2 linked regions of the Arabidopsis thaliana genome follow. The protein of the gene in region 1 interacts with the protein of each later gene in a biochemical or structural test. Each region holds a gene or a part of one and is shown on either strand. Other genes may lie near its edges.

Region 1 (7,397 bases):
TAACAATAATTAATATATGAGGTATTTTATGACAGTAAATAATTAGATAATTTATTTTTATACCAATTCAAAAATATTGGGTATTAAACTTGCAAATAAAAATTAGTATGAGTTTTTTTTGGGATTTTTAACCACAAAAAAAATCTTTGACCTTTTAAAAAACTCTTATTGAAAAAAAAAAAAGGAGTTATATGATGAAACCAAATGGACCCATATGATTGGGAGATTTGGATAACAGAGAATCCACAAAAGTGTATCCTTCACAAAACCAAAACACACTCTCCATTTTCTTCAGACAACTCTTTCTCCTTTCTTCTCTCTTCTCTGTCTCATCACAAACCAGAAATGGGAGGAGTGTCCTTCCTCTCCACTGTTCCTTCCTTCACCAACACAACCAATCATCAACATCTCACTACACTCTCTTCTTCTTCTCATCGCTCTGTGAGTTTCAACCATTGTTACATTCTTTACTTCTAACCCATTTTACATTTCTTCTGCTAACAATTCTTCTTCTGATCAGGCTGTTATACGATGTTCCAAGATTGAACCTCAAGTTTCCGGTGAAAGTTTAGCTTTCCACCGCCGTGATGTTCTCAAACTCGCCGGCACTGCAGTCGGAATGGTACCTTAACACTTGACTCGATCAAAAATTACATACACATTGGTACAAATGAGATATTGTAATGTATAGTCTGTGGCTACATCTTCTTGAAGTTGTCCTCTCTATGTCACATTTGATGAGTTCTTGGCAGTGATGATCTCTCTTGTTAGGAATTAATAGGCAACGGTTTCATTAACAATGTGGGTGATGCAAAAGCTGCTGACTTGAATCAACGTAGACAACGATCCGAGTTTCAATGTGAGTATCTGAAACAAGAACACTAGTGTGGTACCATTAGGTTGTTATTGGCACTAAAGGTTTCACTTTTATATTATGCAGCAAAGATCAAGATTTTGCTTTCAACCACCATTAAGGCTAAACCGGAGCTTGTACCTTCCTTACTCAAACTAGCTCTCAATGATGCTATGACTTATGATAAGGTCAGGCTTCATATAATGCTCTTGTCCATCTCTCTGGTGACCCTTTAATGATACTAGCTTTTTGTCTAGGCTACTAAATCCGGGGGAGCCAATGGATCCATACGGTTCAGGTAGTTATATGATGTAAGAACATTATAAGAGTAATCTTTAGATGATGTCTAATGCATTCTTTTCTTTTTGTGAAGCTCTGAGCTAAGTAGAGCAGAGAATGAGGGACTTTCTGATGGGTTGAGTTTGATAGAGGAAGTGAAGAAGGAGATTGACTCTATCTCGAAGGGAGGTCCTATTTCATATGCAGATATCATTCAATTAGCAGGTAATGTTATAGTATATACCAAAACTTGTTCATGAAGAGTAGCATTATTGTATTTGTGGATAACTGAAATCTTTCTTGGGTTGGTTTCTGTAGGACAATCAGCGGTCAAGTTTACATATTTAGCATCGGCTATCCGAAAATGTGGTGGAAATGAAGAGAAGGGGAACTTACTTTACACAGCATATGGTTCAGCTGGTCAGGTAAACAATGCTATCGTATTCGCTTTTGAGTCGCGGCGTTTTGTTCAAATCGATACTGAACCGTTGTGAATCTGTTAGTGGGGATTGTTTGATAGAAATTTTGGAAGGAGTGATGCAACAGAGGCTGATCCAGAAGGCAGAGTCCCACAATGGGGGAAAGCAACTGTGCAAGAGATGAAAGATAAGTTCATTGCTGTTGGATTGGGTCCTCGTCAGGTACATGATTTTCGGTTTAAACAGAGAATTATCTACTAGGATCACTCGAAGTAACTAACCTGTATGAGGAATTTGTAGCTAGCTGTAATGTCTGCATTCTTGGGTCCTGATCAAGCTGCAACAGAACAGCTCTTAGCTACTGACCCTCAAGTTGCTCCATGGGTTCAGAAGTATCAAAGAAGCCGTGAAACCGTATCTCAGACTGATTACGAGGTTCGTTTTCACTCGATTTGCCTTAATCATATATTCATCTACCTCAAACTCAAGCTCATGTTTTGGTTTATGAATATGTTTGTAGGTTGATCTCATAACTGCATTCACAAAGCTAAGTTGCTTAGGACAGCAAATCAACTTCGAGGCATATACATATCCCGTCGAACGGATCAATCTGAGCAAACTCAAGCTATAAGCTATGTACACTATATGTATAACATGAGAGGAAACTTCGAAATAAACCAAAGATTTTTCTTGACATTGAAACAAAAAGAGAAGTTGAATCCATTACAAACAAAGACACAGAAGATAGGAGTCAAATCACGATAAAATGGAAACAGATAAACGAAAAATAATAGGAATCGAGTTTTCGTATCCACGGTTGAGAAAAGCAGCAAAAAAGGACAAGAATTAGACTGCCTTAGAGAGCTTGGGGATAAAAGGAAATAAGAAACCAACAGAGAAACACCTCCAAGAGAAAAACATATTAATGGAGAGGTTTTAGATACTGAAATGACAACAAAGTTGCGGTAAGACGACTTAGGATTGTTGCTCGTCAGCGGGTTTTGCTGCTGCTGGTGCTGCTTCTTTGATGTCATCAGCAACATCGTCCTGATTGAAAAAAACATTTGACAAGATCATCATAATCAGAATCAGACCACAAGAAAGAAGGATTGAGGAATGTATCAAAATGTAAACTAAGCAACAACTTGATTTCCAAATCTAGTCTCCCTCAATGGCATATATCTTGCTCATGGTTTCAGAAATCACAAACAGGCTTAAGCAAGGCATAAGGAGGAATGCATCAAAATGTAAACTAAACCACTTGATATTCAATTCGTGTCTTCCTCAATGGCTTAACAAGGCTTATGATTTCATAAATTAAGCAACAAAACAGGATTAAACACATTTGACAATCACTAAAATCAGAATATGACCAAGAGAATGCATCAAAATGTAAACTAAACTGTTTGTTTTCCATATCTAGACTTCCGCAATGGCTTAACAAGGCTCATGGTTTCAGAAATCAAGCAACAAAACAGGCTTAAATACATTTGACAATCACTAAAATCAGAATCAGAGCCAGCAGAATGCATCCAAATGTAAACTAAACTGTTTTATTACAAATCAAGTCTTTCTTAATGGTTTAATTATAGGCTAAAAGTTTCAGAGATCAAGAAACAAAAACGTTATTCGTTCATCAAGCAACAAAAACAAGCTTATAAGGCCAAAATATAATACCTAGCAAGATTACTAACACAGTTGACAATCACCAAAATCAGAATTAGACCAGAAGAATGCATCAAATAAACTTGATATCCAAATCTAACTTTTGTCAATGACTTAATTAGGCTCATTGTTTCACAATTCAAGCAACAAAATCAATCATACAGGAGCCAATATATAATACCTGCATATCAGAAGTCCAGAGAGTGAGGTTATCACGAAGAAGCTGCATAATCAAAGTACTGTCCTTGTATGACTCTTCACCAAGAGTATCCAATTCAGCAATTGCTTCATCAAACGCCTAAATAAATCCATAAACAAAAACTCATCAAACACACACATAAACCAACAATACATAATCATATAAAACATCCCTCAGATGAGATCCAAACCTGCTTAGCGAGATTACAAGCACGATCTGGAGAATTGAGAATCTCATAGTAAAACACAGAGAAGTTCAACGCAAGACCAAGACGAATCGGATGCGTTGGAGCCAATTCAGAATTAGCAATATCCTACACAACAAACCAAAATTTCAAAAACCTAAATCACACAAAAATCAAATCACAGATCGGAGAAAGAGATCAAAAACCTGAGCAGCTTTGTAAGCAGTAAGAGTATGTTCAGCAGCATCTTTCCTCTCTTGACCAGATTTGAACTCAGCCAAGTACCTATGATAATCACCTTTCATCTTCAGATAAAACACCTTCGAATCTCCAGAAGCAGCAGCGGGAACGAGAATCGTATCGAGAAGCTTAAGGATTCCGTCACAGATATCAGAAAGTTCCGTTTCGATTTTGCTTCTGTAGTCACGGATCAACGAAACGTGGTCATCGTTACCGCGAGACTCCTCCTTTTGTTCGATCGATGAAATGATTCTCCACGAAGCACGACGAGCTCCGATGACGTTTTTGTAAGCGACGGAGAGGAGATTACGTTCTTCGACGGTGAGTTCGTCTTTGTCAACAGCTTTCGCGACTTTCTCCATGAATTCAACCATTTCTTCGTAACGCTCTGCTTGTTCGGCGAGTTTCGCCATGTATACGAATTCATCTCTTGCTGAGGAAGCTCCTGGTGTCGCCATTGTTGTTTAGATCGGAGAAGAAGATGATGAACAAAGTGAGGAAGAAGAAGAAGAAATGATTCTCAGATCTGAGAGAGTTTTTTTTTTTTTTTATCGGCTCCGTGGATTTTTGTTTTTGTTTATAATGAATGAGTGGGGAGCGATGATTACGGATTGTGAGAAGAAAGGAGAGCCGTTGGATTGAAAGCTGGCAAAAACACGGATTCGTAACGAAAAAAGGCGCTGGCTTTTCAGATACTTTTTAGGTCAAGTTTGAATTTTCAATGATTGGAAAAGGGTATTTCTGGAAATTACTTATTTAATGGGCTTTTTTCCTGCGAAACGGGTTTATTGAATGGGCTTTAAAGCCTATTTTACGGATTAACTCATTTGCGCGTGGGTGAATTAATTATTGAATGGCCCGAATAGGCCCAATAAATATAACGCTTGTATTTTGGTATACTTACTGATTTCATTTTTAATCGGATATCCGATATGAAATATGAAAAATAGAAAATTTAAAACCCAAAGATGGCAATATTTCATTAAGATTTCTTTAGCTGTTAATCTTTAGTATTTAAATATTTAATTTAATGAACGTAATTTCATAAAATTTACAAACAAATACGTCAATCATCGTAAATCTAGTGAGCCGACATCGTTAATTTACAAATATTATTATAAACATTTAATTATCTCTTTTTAAAAAAAAATTAAGAGGACCAACTGTTATAATAAGATATTATTATAAACATCTAATTATTTTTTTTATTTTTTTTATTTAAGAAGACCAACTGTTCTGTTTTGGATACTCATAATTACTATATTTCTAAGGCTATAAGTCCTCATCACTTTAGTAAAAATAAATTTTGTGGATTGGTTTCATCCCCTCTATTAGGAACATGGACAACATCCATTTGCATGTCAAGAAGGCTTTGCATGTCTATGTAAGTAAGTTTTATATTTATTTGAAGATCTCGGTTTTTTTTTTCTTTTTTGTGAGATCATAATTATAATATTCGTGTATTTACTAAAATTTAATTTCTCTATGAAAAAAACTATTTGCTGAAAATAGTATGCACAAAACGTACACACATATCGTTGTTAAACAAGCAAACATGTAGAGTATCGATTAAACGACATATGTATATACACAATTTTCCTGAAGTTAGGATTTTATCAAGATTTCTTTCAAGTTTGATCTTGCAAGGTAGAGAGAAAGCCTCATAATTTGGAGTCACACTAAAGACAATGATAGGTCTTTGAGTCAGAGATAATGGAGTTTTAGGTTGAATAACTAATGCTCTAACCCCTCATATTGGAGTTTCAGCTAGGAACCAAAACATTCAAAAGGAATCAAACACATGGAGAATACACAAACGGTGTTTAGGATGGATATAATAGAGATTACAACCTTATCGAGATTCGCTTTAGGATGCATAAAATAGTAGGAGGCAAGAAGTCAAGAGACTTTCATGGGCATCGATGTAGAAAAAGTTCTCTGCCACAGAGGAAAAACAATTTTAAGGTCCTAGAATCTACATTTCATTAAGGATATATAGTAGAACCGCGAATGTGGTTAAAATTAACCGTTGGAGTGAAGAATTGGATAGGCTTTTGCTTTTCAAACATGAAATCAACAAAGTCCTTTGTAGTTGGGCATATAAGATAGATTCATCTCAGAACTTCCTGGCTCCATCCCAAACAAGATGTTGTAGGACTTATTCCAACGTGTTCGTTGTTTATCATCTAGAAGCGTAAACATGAGAAAAGAGTAAGCATAGATTATAAACAAAATCACAAAGTTTCTAGATTCCACATAACGCTAGGAACTCATCAATAGAGAAGCAGCAACTAAAAAAAAAGCTCACCTTTTAATTTCCATGTTTCTTTCCAAAAACGATCAGTGAAATTACGTATAGCTTTAATTTTTCCCCAAAGCAAGGATTGAATCTTGCGCTAACAACAAAAATGTTCAAATTTTAATAATTATGGAACAAATAATCAAAATATTCATAATTTAATAGGTCTTGCGCAAAACTATCTATTTTTACCCACAATAATAGCATGTATATGGGTGATACTCATATGGTATCATAAGGAATTTTTAAGTATTATTTATAATGTTTGAGATTTTTTATGATACTCCTACTAAATATGTTTGCACTAGATATTAACCCGCGGTATACCGCGGGTAAGTTTATATTTTAGTTAAACTAAAAATCTTTTTTTGTAAAGATGATTAATAAATTTATGATATTATTTTATTTGATTTTAAATATATAATACACTGCGAGTTGTATATGTTTTGTTGATATTTTTTATATTCTTTAATGTTGATATTCTATGTTTTGTTGTATATGTTGTGTTGTTCTTTTTAGTCGCATATGGGGGGTGGTGGCGACGGAGAGAGCAAAAATGTTTCTTTGGTTAGTCGGGAATCAAGCTCTAATGACGGATGCTGAGCGATTTAGAAGGCATCTGTGTATAACAGATGTTTGCCAAGTCTGTAAGGGGGGAAGTGAGACGATTATTCACATCCTTCGGGATTGTCCCGCAATGGCAGGACTTTGGGATCGTATCATTCCCCAGCGGCGGAGGAGATCCTTCTTTGCACAGTCGTTGATCGAATGGTAGCATGATAACCTAGGTGATGACCGGGAAATATATGAGAGTGTATGGTCTACGGTTTTCACGATGGCTATTTGGTGGGCTTGGAAGTGGCGCTGTGATAACGTGTTTGACAAACGTGGTAAGTGTCGGGATAGAACGAGGTTTATTAAGGATGCGGCTAAGGAAGTAACTACCGCTACTAGTAAACATAAAGGAGGTTCGGGGATAGGCGGTAGGGTGGAAGTAATGGTTGGTTGGGGTGTGCCTAACGATGGGTGGCTGAAGCTCAATACTGGTGGGGCATCACGGGGTAATCCGGGTCTGGCTACAGCGGGAGGAGTGCTAAGAAACAGTGCGGGAGAGTGGTGTGGGGGTTTCGCTCTTAACATTGGTCGTTGTACGGCTCCGGTGGCGGAGTTATGGGGTGTCTATTACGGCATGTACTTCGCTTGGGAGAAGAAGGTGACGAGAGTGGAGTTGGAAGTAGACTCGACATTGGTGGTGGGCT
Region 2 (6,822 bases), on another chromosome or scaffold:
TAATTGTTTTTCATAGTCATAGTAACTCTACACTCTTGTAACTACAAAATGATATGGCATACTGCATTTGTGAAAATATGAAAGATATAGAGACAAAGCAATAATGTTCACAAAAAAAAAAAAAGACAAAGCAATAATATAAAGGGTGATTTAAAAATCTATACATGGACCATCAAATAATTAAGAATCTGTACATGAATACCATTTATTTAGGTATCTCTTTTCAATTAAAATCTATATGACAAATATACCCCTACAAAGTGATATGGTAAAACTCTGATAATTAGCAGATAACGCATTATCGAGATAATATTGTTAGCGAAATATGGATGGGGTTTGATGTATGGATGAAATGACATGGTGTACAAACCAACTTAATATGTTAATAATATATTTGACGATATAAGCAAATTTTCAGTTATTAAACCAATGTTTAGATTTCAAAGACATATATATGCGAAGACGATAACATTATTATTAAAAGATAATAAAATATTTAACATGAATACCATAAAAGTTGACTTGCGACTGAATAATCATGTAGAAAAAATACGTGCATCAGAATAGTTAATAGATAACGTATTATCGGGATAATATTGTTAGCAAAATATGGATAGGATTTTGATATATGGATGAAAAAACTTAGGGTACAAACCTACTTAACATGTTAATAATACAATTGACGATATAAACAAATTACCAGCTATTGAACCAACGATTTGATTTTAAAGATTATATAATTATGGGAAGATGATAACATTATTATTAAAAGGTAACAAAATATTTAACGTCAAAAGCAAATATGGTATAGAGATATAAGGGTATTTTCATGATAGAGAGAAAAGATTCGAGAGTAGTTTTTTCTAATACTTAATTTTATAATTTTATATGTATATAGAGTGCAATTTCCCTAATATAAACAAAAAACCAAACACATAGTACTAGTTTTGTTTCACAAAGCACAACGCAACATTTTCGTCTAGGAGTTTCACGAATGAGTAGCTGACACGTGGCTGAATACCGACCATCGATAGTAGATTACAAAAGTATCCCTAACATCTCCTTCTCCGCCGTGTCAATCGCAAACAATCGAATCCGGATCCGATCCGATTCGCCTCAACACCATCATTATTTATCTGTTTCCCCCTTTTCCCAAGCTCTAACATTTAGGGTTTCGCGAAAAATCAATCAGGTGAAAAATAATCGAATTATTGTAAAATTGATACATAAATTCACATTCAAAAGCCAAAGAGCTGAGAAATTATTTTTTGTAAACTGTTGGTCCTTCGGAGAGTGTCCATGAACGTTAGTCTTCAATGGATACATCTGTAATGCAGACGAATCTTCCCAAGGTAGAAGACAATGATGAATGGGGTAAGTAATTTCGCTTTAATCGATTCAGTTGCATTTCTTTATTGAAATTAGGGTTCTTTCGTGTTTATGTGATCGGATTCAATCATTCAAATTTCTGTATCTTCTTGTGTAATTACAAATCTTGAGTCGATCATTTGATTGGTGGCAGACACTGATGGGTTTGTGATTCCGAGCTTGGAGATTGAAGAAGACAAGGTTAATAATAATAATGATTCAGAAGTTGAAACATCAAAACCTTCTTCTCCTAAGGTTAGTGATTGATTTCTTACGTACAAGACAAGTTTCAAAAAAATGTTGTTAACTCTTTATCTCTCATTGTATGATTTTGTAGAGTAAAGCTGAAGAAAACATCTACTTAGGACCACATGGAGCTCCTCCTTCGCAGCTACAAGATGGTGGTAGTAACACATCGAGCCGCAAGCAGCGGTTTAAGCAGATGCTCAAGGAAGCAGATCAGAAAATGAGCGGCTCTGGTCGAGAAAACAAAATGGCTAACTTAAGAGAGCTTGTAGGCGGGGGTGCAGGTGCAGAGAAAGGAACTAATATGGGAAAAGGTGTTTCAAGAGACTGGCTTGACCCTCATTGCCATGAATCTCAGTTCGAGAAACGACGACTTCCATAACGCGAGAAACCGCTATCTTTTGAAAATGTTTTGTATCAATCAAAATACCAAAAAAGTTTAAAGCAATAAAACAGTCTTCATACCCTGTCCTTTGAGAGAATCATCCATGAATTCTTGGTCATGGAGCATAACACTAGAGAGCTTCATATGTATAGATGTATGTAAAATTATACACTCAGCATCAAGAAACGATCAAAGAGTTAGAGTGTGGCATTACATTACAAACACAAACAGGAAAAAACAAACAAAATTTCGAAAAACTGTTCACTCTCTTCGGCTTTTTGTTGTGTGAAGGTATAACTAAACAAAGATTCTGATTCGTCTTCGCAAGATGATGATGATGATGAGGCTTACCTTTGAATCTGAGACGTGGTCTGAGCTAAAACGATGTCAGAAGTCGTGAGAGTTCCTGATTCATCGTAATCAAGTTGCTCGAACTCATCCATTATCCCAGAAATATCTTTCTCATCAATCTTACCCATTTCTTTCAGTTTATACACAATAAACTCTGCAGCTCTGCAACACACAATAGACAAAAAAAAAAGAATAAGAAGAGGAAGAAGGAAACAGAAGATAGAATATGTCTGATGTCTTTCTTACCCAACAACTCCATCTTCATCGAGATCAGCTGCTTCGAGATCATTGTTTGTGATTCTTCGCGTTAAAACCCATTTCACCAACGCCCTCTGTTTGTTTTCTGTATTTAGCTCAGCTACATAAAGGAAAAACTGAGCCAAACATATGCTGCTCGTCAAGATCCAAAACACAGCAAAAAGGCGTCCGGCTTCCGAGTTAAAGCTCTTATCTCCATAACCCAATGTTGTAACCGTGGAGCAGACGCAGTAGAAAGCTGAGATAACCGGCATTTTCTCAACCATTACAAGGAAAATCGTGCCAACAATGAAGAGGACTACAAGGACAAGGCATGTAGCATAGCATTTGTATCTCAACTTGTTAGTATGCAACTCCTTGAGAATGTCTGTTGGACCAAAGCTTTGACGCAAATGGAAAGCCCTAACGAGCAAAGCCTCTTGTTTCTCCACTAGATAATCCGCCGCTCGACTTAAGAGGTGACCAACGAGGACCATTCCCGAGAAGACGAAGGCACAAGCAAGTAGCCTTGAGGCGGAACTATTAGGGACAAGGTCACCGTATCCAACAGTTGTCATCGTTACTATACAGAAATAGAGAGCATCTACCACACCACTGGTTTTATGACCGGAGATCTGGTCTCTCACGAGGTAGAAACAGAGCGTACCAATGGTAAGATATAAAGCCAAGAACATGATCACTCGCCTGAGATTCGGGTTTAGATCACTGAACATTGGGATTTTACTCGGATGAGGAGGTGGTTCGTCGATTTTGACATCATCATTGTACATACAATCACCACGAGGAGCACTTCTAGAGCGACGCAATCTTCGTTTTCTTGAAGAAGAAGTTCTTGAGTTCAGGTTGAAATCTTGAGCCATGGTATCTATCTTCTCAGTGGGTAACAATGGCGTACGAGCTGCATCACTCGACATTTCTAGACTCAAACCAGATTAACTATGAGATCTGCACAGAACAATCAAATCTCATGTTTATGTTACGAAAACCATCGCCAAAATTGACATCTCCTGTTCTGAGAAATGAACATATGTATCAAAAAATTTGAATTTCGTAACAGAAACTTGTCAGAACTTAGATACAGATTTTGAGTTATAGCTAAAGATTAGACCTTTAGACAATGAAAAGATGAGTTTTGTGAGAGTAATCAATCAGACACAGAACACGAACTGAAGGAGGAAGAAGAATTGAGACATACCCAGGAAAGTAAGATCGAAATCAAAAGAAGCGGTGTTGTCGGATCTCGCAATTGGTCTTCATTGATGATGTTCTCACAGTTGGCCAATTCTTGTTTTTATTTTATTTTAATTATCTTCTTTTTTTTTGGTCAAAATTTATTCTCTTCAAATCCGATAATTTTGTTTTTATGATCTTCTTCATTTTCTTGATAGGATTTTTCATTAGTATCTTAGTATAAAAATGTTTTGTTTTGTTTTTTAAATGTTTTTTTTCATATAGAAGAATGTATGTAATGTCTTAATTTTCTAGTTAGTTTTCTATCCTTCTGTTTTTTTTTTGTGCAAATCTAGTAATTAGTTTTATATTATACACTCATAATCACAAGTAATGTACAAGCCAATAAGCCAAAATATCCAGCATGACGTCATGTTTAATCTATATCATACAATAATCTATATGTTTTATGTTAATGTCAATATGTTAAGATTTTTATAAGTCGATAAATCACATTTTTTTAGTGTTATACATGACATCAAAGATGTTATTAATGCACTCATATGATACATATATATGTGAAGAATTGCATACTTCAAAACATCCCCACACACAAAGAAATATAACACACACTAGTATTTGACATAGTTCTAAAACATTACTAAGTGATTGATATACATGGTAATTTGACATAATTTTAAAAACATTCAACCACTCGAGTATAGGCTCATTGATATGCATGTGGAGAGCGATATAAGATCATTCAACACCAACATAGACCATCTAAAGCTGATCAGGCCAGAGAAATGATTCAATTGCAAAAACCCTCTTGTCTTCAAGAGATCCTTCAAAGGAGAATCCATATTGTTTGAGGAGCAAGTCAAGGCGGAGATCATCCATAACTTCGTAATCAGACTTGGAGTATTTAGGGTAGTGAAGAGGGACTTGGAATCCACTTGGGAATTCTTCTTTCTTCATCATCTTTATAATTTTGTTGCGGGTGCTTTGGCAGTTGCTGGCTTGATCCATATGGTTCGAGTAGCCGAACATTTGGGTGAAAGCCGATGTAAAGAGCAATTTCATTTCCATTGTCTTGGTTGATTTTAAGATTTTATACAAAAAAGGAAAGAAAACGAAGGTTTGAAATAGAGAGAAAGAGTAGAGAAGAAGAAGAAAGAGAAGCAAGGAAGCTTAAGACAAAATACCAAAAAAGGAGAAGCTTGAGACAAACTCTAAGGCAAGCTCGATGTTTGGTTATAGTAAAGGCGACCAAAGACTAGTATATATATAGAGGCAGGCAGGTAGGTCAGTAAGACAATTATTATTTGTCTTTTCGACATGATAATCGTCATTTGAATTTTATTTTTATCATCAAACTATAGTATGTAATATAAGATGTACTAGAAATTATTTGTTTTTGTTTTTTTAATTAAACAAAAGTATGATTATAACGAGTAGTTCTTGTTCTAAACCAAACCAGTAAACCTTTTTCCTTTTAATGAAAAAAAAGTATGATCATAAATAACAAAATGTGAGAACGACGGCTGTGAGCTACATGCACCAGGAAACGCATCGGCCAATGATGGTTCATGCATTCATGCACTCATTATCTTAGGTGGGGACAAGTATAAAACAGTTGTGGTGTGCAAGGAGAAAGTAGGTGAAAGTATTTAATATTTATATTAACTAAAAATAACATACTATGTTTTTGAGGTTATATGAGTTTTGGTCTTTCTTTTTAATTTAAAACCATTTTTATTGGCATTTTTTGCGGAATACCTTGTATATTCTAGGAAAAAACACTTTTTATATAAAACAGTTAAGATTATGATATAATTAACAAATTTTTAATAAAGAGAGAAATTAAGAAAGAAGAAGAAAAATGGCCATGATAAATACAGTAGTTGGTTTTACTATTCGGTTGGTGATCCTTTTGTTCATTTTGATAGGTATGAATCTCACCAACGCTTCCATATACTTTTTTCAGTTTTGTTCAAATCATGAATCCATAAGTTTAACATCTTAATTAAGAAAATTACCTATTAAATTCAATATGTCAAAAGCATGCAAAAGGAGAGATATTCTTTTTTTGCTTTGATTTTTAAAGTTTGATGTATATGTTTAGATTTAACAATACAAAACTTTTTTTAAAAGAAAATAATATTCTCTTCATCCCACAAAGATAAGTTTTCTAGAAATTTAACATTCTTTAAAAAATATTTTATAATGACAATTTAACATTCTTCTAATTAACTAACAAGAACACCCAATCTTTTATGTTGCTTTTTATTTCTTATGTATTGTTCTGTTCCTTCCTCTCTCACTTTATTCCATCCTCTGTTTTGTGGATTGTATGGTATCGGGATACTAGAGGCTAGACAACTTAGGAGAATATATTTTCTGTAACAATTTGCTAATTTTCTTATTACCTAAGCTCTGTTTTGTGTAACAATTTGCTAAACAATTTTTTTGTGTGTGGATTACACTCATACAACAGAAATGGGTGTGCAAATTAATAATAAGCATGTTAAACTCTACCAATTTTGACTCCCACGATGAATTTTACCGGTTTACTTTTTCAGGGTGTTGAAAACCATGCATTCATGCATTCATTATCTTAGGTGGGGACAAGTATAAAACAGTTGTGGCTTGGTGTGCAAGGAGAAAGTAGGTGAAAGTATTTAATATTTATATTAAAGAGGGAAGTCCATTTTCTAACTAAGACAATCTTCTTATTTGGAGCCATTCATATGAGTTTCGTGTTTGTGTGGTGGTAGTGATGATGTGTCTCCCTTTAAAGTCTCTAGTCTATACATTAACAATTGAAAATATCTCTCCCTCTTTTAGCAAATCAGCAATGATCATCGTTTTTAGAGATTTTTAGGTATATTCGGTTGATAAAAAAATGAGTGAGATTGTACCAAAGATTTGAGAAAGATCATAGGTAGGTATTAATAAGGGCCTGAGAGATTTAGACACCAAAACTAATGCATGCTTGGTTGATTCACTTAATGCATGCTTGTGTGAAGAGTGAAAGATAAAAG

The links.
Region 2: the proteins of GRF1 (region 1) and KCO1 form a complex in vitro, tested with the Arabidopsis thaliana proteins (one study listed by BioGRID).

Annotation. Positions count from the first base shown.
Region 1 is NC_003075.7:5,772,287-5,779,683, reverse strand, and holds GRF1 (general regulatory factor 1), read right to left. Parts: upstream 4,475-7,397; 5' UTR 4,298-4,474; coding exon 3,806-4,297; intron 3,729-3,805; coding exon 3,606-3,728; intron 3,515-3,605; coding exon 3,398-3,514; exon of another isoform or gene 3,313-3,397; coding exon 3,246-3,312; exon of another isoform or gene 3,040-3,245; intron 2,895-3,039; exon of another isoform or gene 2,685-2,894; coding exon 2,527-2,684; 3' UTR 2,203-2,526; downstream 1-2,202. Other genes in the region: TL29 (ascorbate peroxidase 4), read left to right, coding at 205-441, 521-622, 772-859, 941-1,041, 1,111-1,151, 1,227-1,357, 1,451-1,557, 1,636-1,773 and 2 more. UniProt on the Arabidopsis thaliana protein: Is associated with a DNA binding complex that binds to the G box, a well-characterized cis-acting DNA regulatory element found in plant genes. Involved in the regulation of nutrient metabolism.
Region 2 is NC_003076.8:22,528,418-22,535,239, reverse strand, and holds KCO1 (Outward rectifying potassium channel protein), read right to left. Parts: upstream 3,883-6,822; 5' UTR 3,804-3,882; exon of another isoform or gene 3,554-3,803; 5' UTR 3,523-3,553; coding exon 2,597-3,522; intron 2,513-2,596; coding exon 2,347-2,512; 3' UTR 2,118-2,346; downstream 1-2,117. Other genes in the region: AT5G55640 (Na-translocating NADH-quinone reductase subunit A), read left to right, coding at 1,317-1,374, 1,523-1,623, 1,706-1,996; AT5G55620 (uncharacterized protein), read right to left, coding at 4,562-4,867. UniProt on the Arabidopsis thaliana protein: Voltage-independent, large conductance and potassium-selective tonoplast ion channel. Regulated by cytoplasmic calcium and pH. Does not mediate slow-vacuolar (SV) ionic currents, but essential to establish VK currents.